Caenorhabditis elegans: one gene and its partners. The protein of the gene in region 3 binds, or shares a complex with, the protein of the main gene of each other region. Each region holds a gene or a part of one and is shown on either strand. Other genes may lie near its edges. The genes, in order: crn-5, exos-2 and dis-3.

What was found.
Region 1: dis-3 (region 3) and crn-5 share a complex: the UniProt entries of both Caenorhabditis elegans proteins name them as parts of the RNA exosome complex.
Region 2: dis-3 (region 3) and exos-2 share a complex: the UniProt entries of both Caenorhabditis elegans proteins name them as parts of the RNA exosome complex.

What each region holds. Positions count from the first base shown.
Region 1 is NC_003280.10:10,591,210-10,594,152, forward strand, and holds crn-5 (Exosome complex component RRP46 homolog), read left to right. Parts: upstream 1-1,542; 5' UTR 1,543-1,552; coding exon 1,553-1,756; intron 1,757-1,802; coding exon 1,803-1,969; intron 1,970-2,016; coding exon 2,017-2,290; 3' UTR 2,291-2,382; downstream 2,383-2,943. Other genes in the region: crn-3 (Exosome complex component 10 homolog), read left to right, coding at 191-494, 1,216-1,349; C14A4.6 (MARVEL domain-containing protein), read right to left, coding at 2,442-2,488, 2,535-2,724, 2,782-2,906. UniProt on the Caenorhabditis elegans protein: Non-catalytic component of the RNA exosome complex which has 3'->5' exoribonuclease activity and participates in a multitude of cellular RNA processing and degradation events. Involved in apoptotic DNA degradation.
Region 2 is NC_003282.8:6,413,640-6,417,961, forward strand, and holds exos-2 (Exosome complex component RRP4 homolog), read left to right. Parts: upstream 1-1,838; 5' UTR 1,839-1,863; coding exon 1,864-2,003; intron 2,004-2,064; coding exon 2,065-2,233; intron 2,234-2,278; coding exon 2,279-2,506; exon of another isoform or gene 2,507-2,613; coding exon of another isoform or gene 2,614-2,814; intron 2,815-2,861; coding exon of another isoform or gene 2,862-2,978; exon of another isoform or gene 2,979-3,014; intron 3,015-3,088; coding exon 3,089-3,244; intron 3,245-3,438; coding exon 3,439-3,567; intron 3,568-3,614; coding exon 3,615-3,704; 3' UTR 3,705-3,821; downstream 3,822-4,322. Other genes in the region: Y73B6BL.22 (Nitrogen regulatory IIA protein), read right to left, coding at 2,614-2,814, 2,862-2,978. UniProt on the Caenorhabditis elegans protein: Non-catalytic component of the RNA exosome complex which has 3'->5' exoribonuclease activity and participates in a multitude of cellular RNA processing and degradation events. Involved in regulation of antisense ribosomal siRNA production.
Region 3 is NC_003282.8:10,095,433-10,100,271, reverse strand, and holds the start of dis-3 (putative exosome complex exonuclease RRP44), read right to left. Parts: upstream 3,071-4,839; 5' UTR 3,065-3,070; coding exon 2,978-3,064; intron 2,931-2,977; coding exon 2,734-2,930; intron 2,561-2,733; coding exon 2,245-2,560; intron 1,927-2,244; coding exon 1,686-1,926; intron 1,463-1,685; coding exon 1,024-1,462; intron 967-1,023; coding exon 665-966; intron 547-664; coding exon 146-546; intron 1-145. Other genes in the region: msp-36 (Major sperm protein 10/36/56/76), read right to left, coding at 4,456-4,839. UniProt on the Caenorhabditis elegans protein: Putative catalytic component of the RNA exosome complex which has 3'->5' exoribonuclease activity and participates in a multitude of cellular RNA processing and degradation events. Has both 3'-5' exonuclease and endonuclease activities.

The DNA of each region.
Region 1 (2,943 bases), on a different chromosome or scaffold from region 3:
AAAAATCACTAAAATCTTTTTTTAATTTTCTCTGAAAAAATAAATAAAAATGAATTTTTTTTCGATTTTCTCTGAAAAAATCAGAAAATAAAACTTCTTTTTTTTCGATTTTCTCAAAAAAAAAATAAATGAAAAAAAATATATTTAAAAATTCCGATGACATCCTTGGTTTTAATAAGATAATTTTCAGCTTCTAAACGTTGATACACTGAAGCTGGTCCCAGATGATCCGAACAAGCCGAAAGATCCAGAACCTTCACCAATGGAAGAATCTTCATCGGAACCTCAAATCTTCGATCCATCTCGTTTTACCGACGACCAGCTACTGTCAAAGAAGGCAATGAAAAGAAAGAGAGATGCTGCTCGACGAAATATAGATGTTTCTGTTGTGCTCGGCGAGTCGTCGAGTAGTTCAGATCCAAAAAAGAAAAAATCTGATGATGATGCTCCCGTTGAAGATTTTGATTATGAAAAAGCTGATAGTAGTGCATTTGGTAAGTTATATTCCTTTGAATTATCCAGACGCGAGATTTAAGGCTAAAAATACGGTACCAGGTCGCGACAACTTGCAAAATGGTGTGCGCCTTTGAAGAGTACTGTAGTTTCAAATTTTCGTTACTGGGAAATTTTCTTCGGTTTTATTTTAGTTTTTTAATAAATAAATTTAAAACTAAAAAAAATTCCGCAGCAACAAAAGTTTGAAATTACAGTACTCTTTAAAGGAGCACACCAGGGCTGGGACAAAAAATATTTTTGAACAAAAAACCAAAATTGAAATTTACGAATTTGCGAAAAACGAACAAAAACCAAAAAAAGTTGATGCTTGAATTTATTTTTCAAAAAAATCGTGAATATGTGAAAATGTATTGGTTTTTCAAAAAATATTTTTGTTGGTCTGAAAAAAAAAACAAAAAAATCAATTTTTCGTCAAAATACAAGAAATATTTCAATTTTTGTTGAATTCCAACAAAAAAACCCAAAAAAAAATCAATGTTATTCGTCGAAGTGCCAATAAAAGCTATTAAAAAACCCAAAAAAAAAAATTCAAAATACCAAAAAAAAACACCAAAAAATCAATTTTTCGTTAAATTCCAAAAAGAACCGCAAATTTGCAAAAAAAAAACGTTTTCTGGCTCAAAATTTGGATAATACCGTACCCAATTATATAGCTCTCAAAAAAGTCTCGAAATCAAATTCCTAATAAATTATTTCCAGAAAAACCTGTTCGAGACAACAACGCCGATTTCGATCCATTCCATCAAAAATATCGATTGAAGAACAAGACAAAGAAGAATATGGCTATGAAAAAATCATCGAATCGACAAGGAACCATCAACTACAAAAAATGATTAAATTGTTACATCCCATCCCATTACCATTGTTATTTTACTTTTTGTTGTTGTGCTTTTTCTTTTGCTTTGAAATTAAAGAAAACTGTTTTTGAAATCTTTTTATTTATTTATTTTTAATTCAATTTGGTTTTCCACCAATTTCAGTTATATTTTCTACAAAATTCATTTTTGTGATTAATTTTGATTTCAGATATCCCCAAATGGCCGGCAGACTTCGTGAAATGCGTTGTGAGCTCTCGTTCCTCAAAAACGCGGATGGCTCGGCATGCTTCTCCCAGGGTGCCACGTGTATTTGGGCTTCATGCAGTGGTCCTGGAGATGTTCACGCTTCGAAAGCAAGTGATGAGGCTATGACTCTGGATATTAGTTATAGAGCAAATTGTGGAGATAACAAGTTCAATGTGGTAGGGGTTTTTGTAGAAATTACTTTTGGAATAATTCTTTTTTCAGCTGAACAATATCATTCATTCTACTCTATCCAATGCAATCAATCTCGAATTGTTTCCCCACACAACAATTTCTGTCACAGTACATGGAATTCAGGATGATGGAAGTATGGGAGCTGTAGCGATAAATGGAGCTTGTTTTGCTCTACTTGACAATGGAATGCCATTCGAGTAAGTTTTTTTAGATACTGTTTTAAAACTGTAATATAATTTTTCAGAACAGTCTTCTGTGGTGTCCTTATTGTTCGTGTCAAAGATGAGCTGATTATTGATCCGACAGCAAAACAAGAAGCTGCATCGACTGGAAGAGTGCTCTTTTCAGTGTGCAAAGGATCCGATGGACATCCAGAAGTGTGTGCGATGGACGCTATAGGACATTGGGATTTTATTCAGCTGGAAGCCGCGTGGTCATTGGCACAACCATCTGCCAGTGCTATTTTTGATTTCTACAAAACTGTGATGAAGAGGAAGCTTTCGGTTGATGAGCAATAGATTATCAATGTTTTGTTGTTGTCGTTGTTGATTTTAATTTTTTATTTAATTTTGAATCCATTGTTTTGTGAGATATTAAAATCTTAAATTTCAAAGTCGAAGTTTTTGTAGAAATGTGACAAGAGAAGGTATTTAGGTATTTAAGAATAGGTTAAGCTTCAGATCCATAATTTGAATATTCGTAGACTCCAGCCGGATCTGAAATAAAAATGGTGAATTTTCAAAATAAGAAAAAAAATCTCACTCAAATGATGTGATCCATTATTCCATCTTCGAACATTTACAACCAGATTGAACACGTGGATGAGTGCAATAATAAAACAAAAAATTGCGACCACCAAAAATCCGAAATCATCAGTCACTTCTTCACTACTAATCGATATTGCCATGGAGATAACATAGCAAATAATTGCAAGAATCGATCCAATACATTCCTAGAAATTCAAATTTCCGTGTAGTTTCACGTGTGCCCCATCGATGCCCGAACTTACAATTGCTGCATACGGTAGCATTCGAATCGCCATTATTGAGATATCGTACTCCTTGAGAAGTACTGCAATTGTGCAAATATCGAAGACGATGGAGCATCCAATTGTGAACCAAATTACTGACATTCCTGAAAAAAGAGGTTTTACGAGAAATTTTAGTACAAA
Region 2 (4,322 bases), 3.7 Mb from region 3:
TTTTGTTAGAGTCTGTCTCTAGAATTGATGAATAAAAATTTAAAATTCCCCCGGATCTTGGAATCAACGCAAAAAAATATAAAAGATTCTGTAAGAAATTTCTTTAAAATATTAATTTCAAATTCGCCGCGATTTGCGAAGTCAATGGAGGAGTACGGTAGGCGTGTGAAAATGACGGAAGATGAGTGAAAAGAAGTATATTCAAATAATTAATGAAAGCTTTTGATCTGTCCATTTGTCATCGAAAAACACCCGTCCGTCCACCCACATTTTTCGCCGAATTTTTGTGGGAAATTAAGGGCTCTGATAATGCAAATTATGGATAATTTTGTATAAAGTTTTCTAGACATTGGTTAGCGATTTTAAAACTACGAAAAAATGAAATGACAAAATAAATAAGTACTTGCACCTGACTATCATACTTTAACAGCTCATATCTCAATTCATTCAAAACAGTTTACAAACTGTAAAATTGATAAATTTTAGAAAATTAAATAATCAATAAGTTGCCAGTTGACAGTTGTTCAAAAATTTAAAGACAACCAAGTTATAACTTCTAAAATTAATCAATGCCTCGATGTATTAGATACAATATTTTGAAAACATTGTTTTCGATGAACCACAATTTTGTAAATAGTGTATCAGAAACAGTGTTTTTTTTTTTCGATTTTTTACAAATTTTTCTGGGAGCTTTTGTAAGACTCCTACTACTATTTTTATGGGAAATTTTAGAAAAGTAAATAGTCAATTAGTTGTCAGTTAACAATTTTTGATATAAAACAAAAAATAAAAAATGAGCTTCGAATATGGAGCAAGTGTACAACTGCTAGAAAAATATGTGGACCTTTCTTTTGCGACACATTCTTTTTAGGAAATTTGCACTGTTCTGTGAAAGATTTCAATCTGAAATATGAATAGAACAGAAGAAATAATATTGATTTTCCTGAAATTAACCGAATGTTTAGTTGAAGTTCTTGAGAAGTTGTTCAAATACTGGCTCAATTACAATATTCCGGGTACATATGCATTTTTAATAACTTTTAACGAAATTTAAGAATAATATCAAAAATATGTTTCAATACTTCTCATAAAACTCTCAATCAAAATAAGAAATACCAATTCGAAAATTCGAACATTGTTAATCAGAAAATGGTAACTTTATAAATGTTTTTTCAGAAACATTGATTTTTTTTCAATTTTTTCAAAATTTCAAAACTTTTTTCTAAGAGTTCCACATGACCGTCTACCGTCTGAAAATGTTTTTTTTTTAATTTTTAGATGGAGAAGAATACTTTTACAGTCAACCTAAATAAAAAAGAGTACATAAACCCGCAAAATCGGAATCTAGGAAATATTTAAAAATCGCACAATAAACCACCAAAGTTTTGAAAATTTTTCCTTTACGATTTTTACTTCTGTTTTAAATACTCAGTTTTTCTCCAATATATTTCTACGTATCCTCTTTTGTTGTATTTTTCCCGTTCGCATGCAAGTCGAAATTATAGGTGTCCCATTCAACTCACACTTCCTTCCAATGACACCTTTATAAAAAGTCAGACAATGGCTTCGTGTCGAACCTTATTTTTATTTCAATTTCGGGTTTTCATCGTCATTGGTTTAGCAGAAACAATTAAATTTGCACGCTCAATTGGCTCGCACTTTTATGGTCGAAAATCAACATTTGAATAGGCGCCAATTGAGTGACGTGTGGGTTTACGATAAACAGCACGCTTTCCGTCATTTCGGAGTGTCGTTGGAAATAATTATTTTTATTTTCATTTCGAATGAAAGCTTTTTTCAGTTTCTTTGTTTAATTTAAGTTTATTTAAATTTGGTTATTTGCAGACAAAAAAAATTTAAAAAATGAGTTTCGAAGTCACCGGTCCACCCCTCGTATCACCATGGATGATGTTATCAATGTCCGAAGCAAGAAATGATATTGATGAGACAAAAATTGTTATTCCAGGACATTCAGTTTGTGATGCACCGCAACAGTTTATGAGGTATGTATATTGTAAAATACTGTTATATCTTTTTGAAAAATGAAAAAATTAAGATTTTCAGAGGACATGGAACTTACGTTCGCGACGGAGAAATCGTCAGTTCTCTCTCTGGAGTCGTTCAACAATTAAATCGACTGTTGATGGTTAAAACTATTAAACAACGATATGCTGGTGAAGTCGGAGATGTTGTAGTTGCCCGTGTCGTGGAGGTTCAAGCAAAACGGTGGAAGGTTTCAAATTTTTAAGTGAAAAATATAACGATAATTGTTTTTCAGTGTGATGTGGCATCTCGTCTTCATGCAAATCTTCCACTAGGTTCAGTTCTCCTGCCAGGAGGAGACTTTCGCAGAAAAGATGTAGAAGATGAGGAGAAAATGAGCGAATTCTTGAAAAACGGAGAACTGATCTGTGCAGAAGTCCAACAAGTCCAGCACGACGGAACACTTATGCTACACACAAGAAATAATAAGTACGGAAAATTGCAACAAGGAATATTGATTAAGGTAATATTTTATAAAATCTTAAGAAAACGCAATTATAAATTTTTAAATAATAGTTCGGAAAGTTGTTATATTTCTTTAAATTCATCATCCAATTGATTCCAATTAGCTCACGTACGGCGTCTTGCTCTAAAAGCCTCAGAAGTTTTATTCAATTCTCGATCTCTGTACTCAATCACAGGATCTTGATCCTTCTTTGCAGTTGGATGCAGTTCAACAGTCTCGACGCCATAACGAAGAATACAAAAAATTACAAGCAACGCAGCAATGAGAATCCATTGTGTATAAGCACGCCATTCGGGAATTGGGCTCTTTAATAATAATTTTCTATTTCAAAAAAAATTAATGAAAAGCTAACCTCCGTGATAACCATATTTGCACGTTCATCGAGTCGGTAGATCATTGAATCGAGCACTTTTGTACGAATATCCTCCGCCTTTTCAAAGTGTTGAGTTTTCTCATTCTTATGCGACATCTCGTTCAAAGCAATATTTCTTTTTTGTTTATGCTGCCAAAATAAATAAAGCGACAAAAAAATCCACAAAATGAGTGGGAAGTCACGGAATTAATTTCTTTTTTTTGCAGGTTCCTCCACATTTGATCAAAAAGTCCAAGAAACATTTTCACACGTTACCCTACGGAATGGCTGTGATTATTGGCTGCAACGGAAGTGTGTGGGTCACGCCGTCGTTGCCGGAGACCACACTTGAAGAGGATGGATCACATGTTCACGAGTTTCAGGTGTGATAGTGATTCTTGAGAAAAATGAATCGAAAATAACAATTAGCGCACATATTTGGTGACTCAACAACGAGAAATTATAATAATTCCAATGATTGACGAGACCTTATAATTTATTCATCATACTCGTGATCATCATAATCGAAAAGAAAAACAAAAAAATTTGGCTTTTTTCGCAATAAAATAAATTTCAGATTGTACCTCCCGACGTACGCGTAACTATGGTCAGAATCGCTGCCTGTGTTCGTCTTCTTCGTGATTATTCCATCTCGATCTACCTCAATTCACTGACAACATGCTATGAAATGAGTCAGCCTTATGAAGTATCGATTGTTTCTTCAGTTTTAAAAAATTAGAAAAATAATTTCAGATCAAAGAGCTCGCCGAGCAAGACACGTCTTCTCGACTCGCCTACCTGATTGCTGCACGGCTTCTACAGGAACTTCAACAGCAGAAGTAATTCTAATTGTTTTGAATGATCTCTCCCTATTTAAAATTTACCTTTTTTGTTGCTGTTATTTCTTGTTGAGTTTCTTATTTACCATTTCAATTAAATAAAACTTTTTACTTTTTCGGATGATATTAGCTGCGATACAAAATCTGAAAGTTTCGAAAGAAATGGTCCATACCCTGAAATTAAACGATCGACCCGTAATCTTTGCAAACCCAAGGTCGCACAGAAATTTTTTTGATCTAGGAATTGTTTCAATTGAACTCCACATTCTAACTTAATGACCGAACAATTTCAGTGAATATACTTCGATTCACACTATCCGCTTTTCAATCCACCAAGTGAGAATCGAGACGATTTTCTGGAAAGTGTTTATTGTGATTCAAAAAAAACCAGGAAGAATTGAAACATTGACCAGAGGAAAACAACAAAAAGGAAAAGAGAGAGCAGGCATGGGACAGACATTCAGTGAAAGCTCAAAAATTATGCTGCTAATTAGCAGACTTCTAACCTAAAAGGATGCATATGAGGTGTTGGGCACAGTAAAAATGGGAAAATATAACAAAGGATCGAATGGTAAACGAGGATCGGATGAACGTTTCATAGAAAACAATGTGAAGTTAATTC
Region 3 (4,839 bases):
AAATTTCGCAAGCGCGCTCTAATGAGAGATTACTGTAATAATCTAAATGAAAATCAGTTTCTAGGTCGCTCTGTTGTATAAAATATATTTCTTCTTTGAATTTGAATATAACTTTTTTTTTTGTAATATTTTTTAAATTTTAAACCTTTGGTGTTCTGGACTCCCAATCCATATCAAAGCGAACTTCACTCGATGCCAACGTCAATGCTCCATTTCCAGTTCTTCTCGCATTCAAAACTTTCGACAATTTCATCAATCCACGTAATCCCAATGCCACGTCATTCTGCTCTTTTGGATCGTCAATAATCTCTTGTGCCTTCTCATAAGTCAATGCAGCTTTTGATTTAATTAGAGATTTGTGATATTTAACTGATTGTATATCAGCACTAGAAGTCATTGTCCAAATACACGAAAATGCATAACGCTCTTCTTCTCCGCGAAGTGAGCACAAATTGGAACTGAGCAGACATGGAAGCATATCGATACGACGATCACAAAGGTATACTGTAGTTCCACGTAATGCTGCTTCATCGTCGATTGCGGTTCCTAAACGTAGGAAATTTTGGTTCTTTTTTTGAAAATAAATGAGGTTTTATTCGAACCTCAAAGGACAAACATTTTTTTTAGTAAAACTTGAATTTTTAAATAATTTCAGTATATTTACCTGGTCTAACAAAATGCGTGACATCTGCAATATGAACTCCAACTTCGAAAAGATCCTCTCCAATTTGTTTACAGTGTAATGCGTCGTCAATATCTGTACATCCAAGTGGATCAACTGAACAAATTGTTAAATCTCTCAAATCAACACGTGGTAGAGGGCCGCGGTTTTCAGTGAGATCTGGTTCCCATTCTTCACGTGGTAGACAATCAAGAACAGATTCTGAGAATGGAGCATGTGGAATATCATGTTCGAGAAGGAGAACCTCATTTTCAGTTTCACGGGATCCCATCTCTCCGATTGATCTGAAAACAACAGTCATTCCGTTAAAATATTTCAAGATTTTCTGAAATTTCACATACCTGACGTAATGTCCAAGTGGATACTTGGAATCTCTTGGCCAGTGATCAATAGCCACCACAATTCTCTGCTGTGATAAAGTTTCAGCCTGTTCCGTCTCGATTCGAATTCTTGGAATAAGTCGTTCAGCTGGACAGAACAAGTGTCTTCTGGCTCCTTTCACTGTACTTGGCAGCAACATTCCACAATATTCACGCCAATTTCTTTTGATAATTCCAACAACTTTTGCAGTTGAAACAGTCATTTTCTTCGACTTTTTAGCTTTTGGCTCATCGTTCTCGTCATCATTCTCCTCGTCTTCATTTCCCATGTCATCTGCAGTTTTAACATATTCTTCAACGTCACGGAGTCGAATTTTCTTCTCTGGAGCAGTCCATTGGTCTTCTGGCAAAAGTTGAACTGCGACGGTATCTCCATTGACGGCACGATTGCAATTATTTCCTAAAATTCGAAATAAAAATTTTATTATTCAGAGAATTGGAATTTTTGGAAAAATTTCACCTTTTTTAAAAATATAATTTCAGAGTTGTTTCGCTCAAAATGACCGAAAACCACCTAATTTCGTTATAAAAAAGTTTTTTTAAAATTCTCAGCAAAAAGTAATGACTTGTGTGAAAAATTTGGTTGGTTTTCGAAAATAAATATTTCAACTAAATTCAAGCACCTGTGATGAACCAAGATGTTAACTGATCATCAATAATAACAGTAGCTTCGCGATAATTTTCTCTTGAAACACTGAAATTTCCTCTTTTGATCGTTCCACTGGCAATTCCCTCCATAATTCTATCATGCGATAGATATTCATCGAAAATTTGTTTCTCATTTCCATTTCCAGAGCTTTCATACGCAGCCATTTGATCCAAAAGTGCTTGTTTTCCTGGATCCTCCAAATTTTGTATGTATTCCTGAAAATTTGGAGATTTTTTCTTTTTCTACGGGGTTACTGGATCATTTTTCAAACTTTATTGTACTTTATTATACAATTTTTGATTAAGGATCATGATTTTTAGTTGAATAAAAGTTTAGTTACGGCGAAAATATGTTAAAGAGGTGTATATTTTAGGGTTTTTGGCTGAAATAGTCTGAAACTAGCTCGGAACGACAGAATTTCATTATGAGTCTTAAGAAATCAAAAATTTTCTTTTAACAAAATTTGGCTCTTTTTCGAAATTTCGCCAGTTTCAGAAAAGATCCACAGAGTTTTGAACTTTTCGACTATTAACCTTTAAATACATCACGTGTTGGTAGTGATTTTCCATTCTTTTTTTCGAATCTTCATCAAAAACTAAGACAACAGGAGCCACGTTATGCTTCTGCCAATGAGTTTTCAAGTAAAGAGCTGTTGAAAGTAGAAGCTCTTCGCCACGACTCAAATCCTCAAATTTCGATGATTCGGAGAAGGTCTCGCAGTGAAATTCGTTCATGAACACGTGAAATCTGTCTTTCGCATCTTCATAACACAAAGAATTCATTTTCTTGTAGGCTGGTACAGCTTTTGCTTTGACTCCTTCCCATACAGTCTGGGTTACGATGAGATCTCTGAAAATTAAATATAATTTATTATTTTACAGAGTTTTTAATTGAAACTAGATGTTTGTTACAATCCCGACAACTTCTAAAAACTGAATTTGGAGCAACAAATTAAGAATTTAATAATTGGACAGTAGAACCATCTACATTTAAATGATTCCGCTGTAATTTTAATTCATTACCTCAATAAAGACGAATCAAACAAATCGTAGAATCTGATTAATGATGTGGAATCCACAATCAGCGCGTGCCTTCCAACTTTCGCATTTCTTACGGGATTTTCAATTTTTAACAGCGGATTTGTGCCGAAATCCTTGCAGGTTCCACATTGAGCAAGTCCACATGAAAGATCATTTCGTAGATATCTTTCTTCGGCTCTCTGCAAAATTTTAATTGGGTTAGGTGATTTCGGAGAGGTTTTCTCACTTTATAGACTTTCCCCGAGCGATTTTGGAAGTAAGTCGTGTGCAAAGCGACGGAATGAATTCCACTTTGTTTGACGTTCAAATCCATACCTTCAAATAATGAAAATACGTGTGAAAAACAAATAAAATCGCACGAATCAGGTGAAAAATGAAGGAAAAACTATTTTATTCGAAGAAAAACTCAGTGTACATTTACGGTGAACAACACGCGCGAGTGGAACATCGGAGTGTCGTAGGCACTACGAAAACGAACACTTCGAACAACACTGCCATCGCAGCTGCGAGGAAAAATGAAATGAAAAGGAAGAATATATCTAAATAGAGTATGGCTAAAATCATGAAAACGGAAGTTTAAACATCTAAAATAGATAATCGGGTAGGAAACATGATTATCTAGGGCCTCATAACCTTAAAAAATAATGCTCAAAACGTTTTTAGATTTTTGAAAATTTTTCAGTCATAGATTTGGTAAATTGCCAAACTTTTTTGTCTTACAAAATTTAATGCGGATGAAACTAAATAATCGCCACTTTTTGATTTTTTTTCATGTATGTAGACACAGCACTGTCCTCAAGGATGAAATCTGACCAGACTTTAAAATGTTAAATTTGTCAAGATGCAAAATATTTATTGTTTTAATGTTAATTTTTGGAAGCAATAAGAACAATAAAAACATTAAGCGAAATATAGAATCTCATTATTGAAAAAAAACGGGTAAGAACATGATAATGAAATACATATCTCGATGGACTTCCATAAGATGTTTAAGAATCGGTTACTGTAGAATTTGGAGTTGAAGAATTGGTTCTACCCAGATAAATTGAAATGTCTTCAGATCCATTAAACTTTGTATGTGATCTTGATCTTCTTCGTTCCCGTATTCTAAAATTAAAATACCTCCAATTTGGATATTTTTCTTCATTATATAATTTTTATCGAAAATTCGAAAATTTACTAAACCCAGCATAGAATTCAATACCAAGGCTTTCATCTAGAGAAAATTTGAATTCGGAATTTCAAATAGAAAAATACATAGCAGAGCTGAGACATTATATACCAGGGATCTTTCCTTTTTCGAAAATTCGAAAATTTACTCGAACCAATCAATAAAGTATTTTTCTCTCATATCAGCAAAAAAAGTTGTGATCGGTTCACTTGTTAATTTCTTTGATTTGTAAGAAAAATACACCCTCCTCGACCTTTACGGAGCAAAACAGCTTTCAGGTTTTGGAGAGATGGGCTGGGTTAGTAGTATGGTTGGGTAGTCTTCTGAACTGAATGACTACTGGAAGATTAAGGTAGGATTACTATAGTTCCAAACGATTTACAATAAATCCCGGATGCTTATGTTAAGGGCATCGATGGAACACAAAACTTGTTCGCTTGAGTATTAATATATATTCAATTTGCAGATTAAAACAGAAAAACAGAACATATACTTGAAAAAAGTTTATTGTTAAGAAACCCAGTTCACACATCCTATGGATTGTACTCGATTGGAAGGTTCTTGCGACGAACCATACCGTCTCCCTGGAACCATTCACGACGGAATTGCTTGGCAGCTCCATCCGGGGTGTTGGTCCACTCAACAGTGATACGGTCGTTGTTGGTATCCTCTTGTCCGAAGGCGAAAGCATCGCAGGAAACAGCAAGAAGCACAGCTTCCTTTGGATCGAGAACTCCACATGGTGGATCAACTCCAAGTCTCTTCATATTGGTGGTCTTGATACCATATCCAATACGACGAGCCGATGAGTTGATCACCTTGATGTGATAGGTGTGCTTGTCATCGTATGGAGCATTAAAGACGATCTTCGCGTTTGGTTGGGTTTGGATGTCTCCTGGTGGGACGGATTGGGCCAT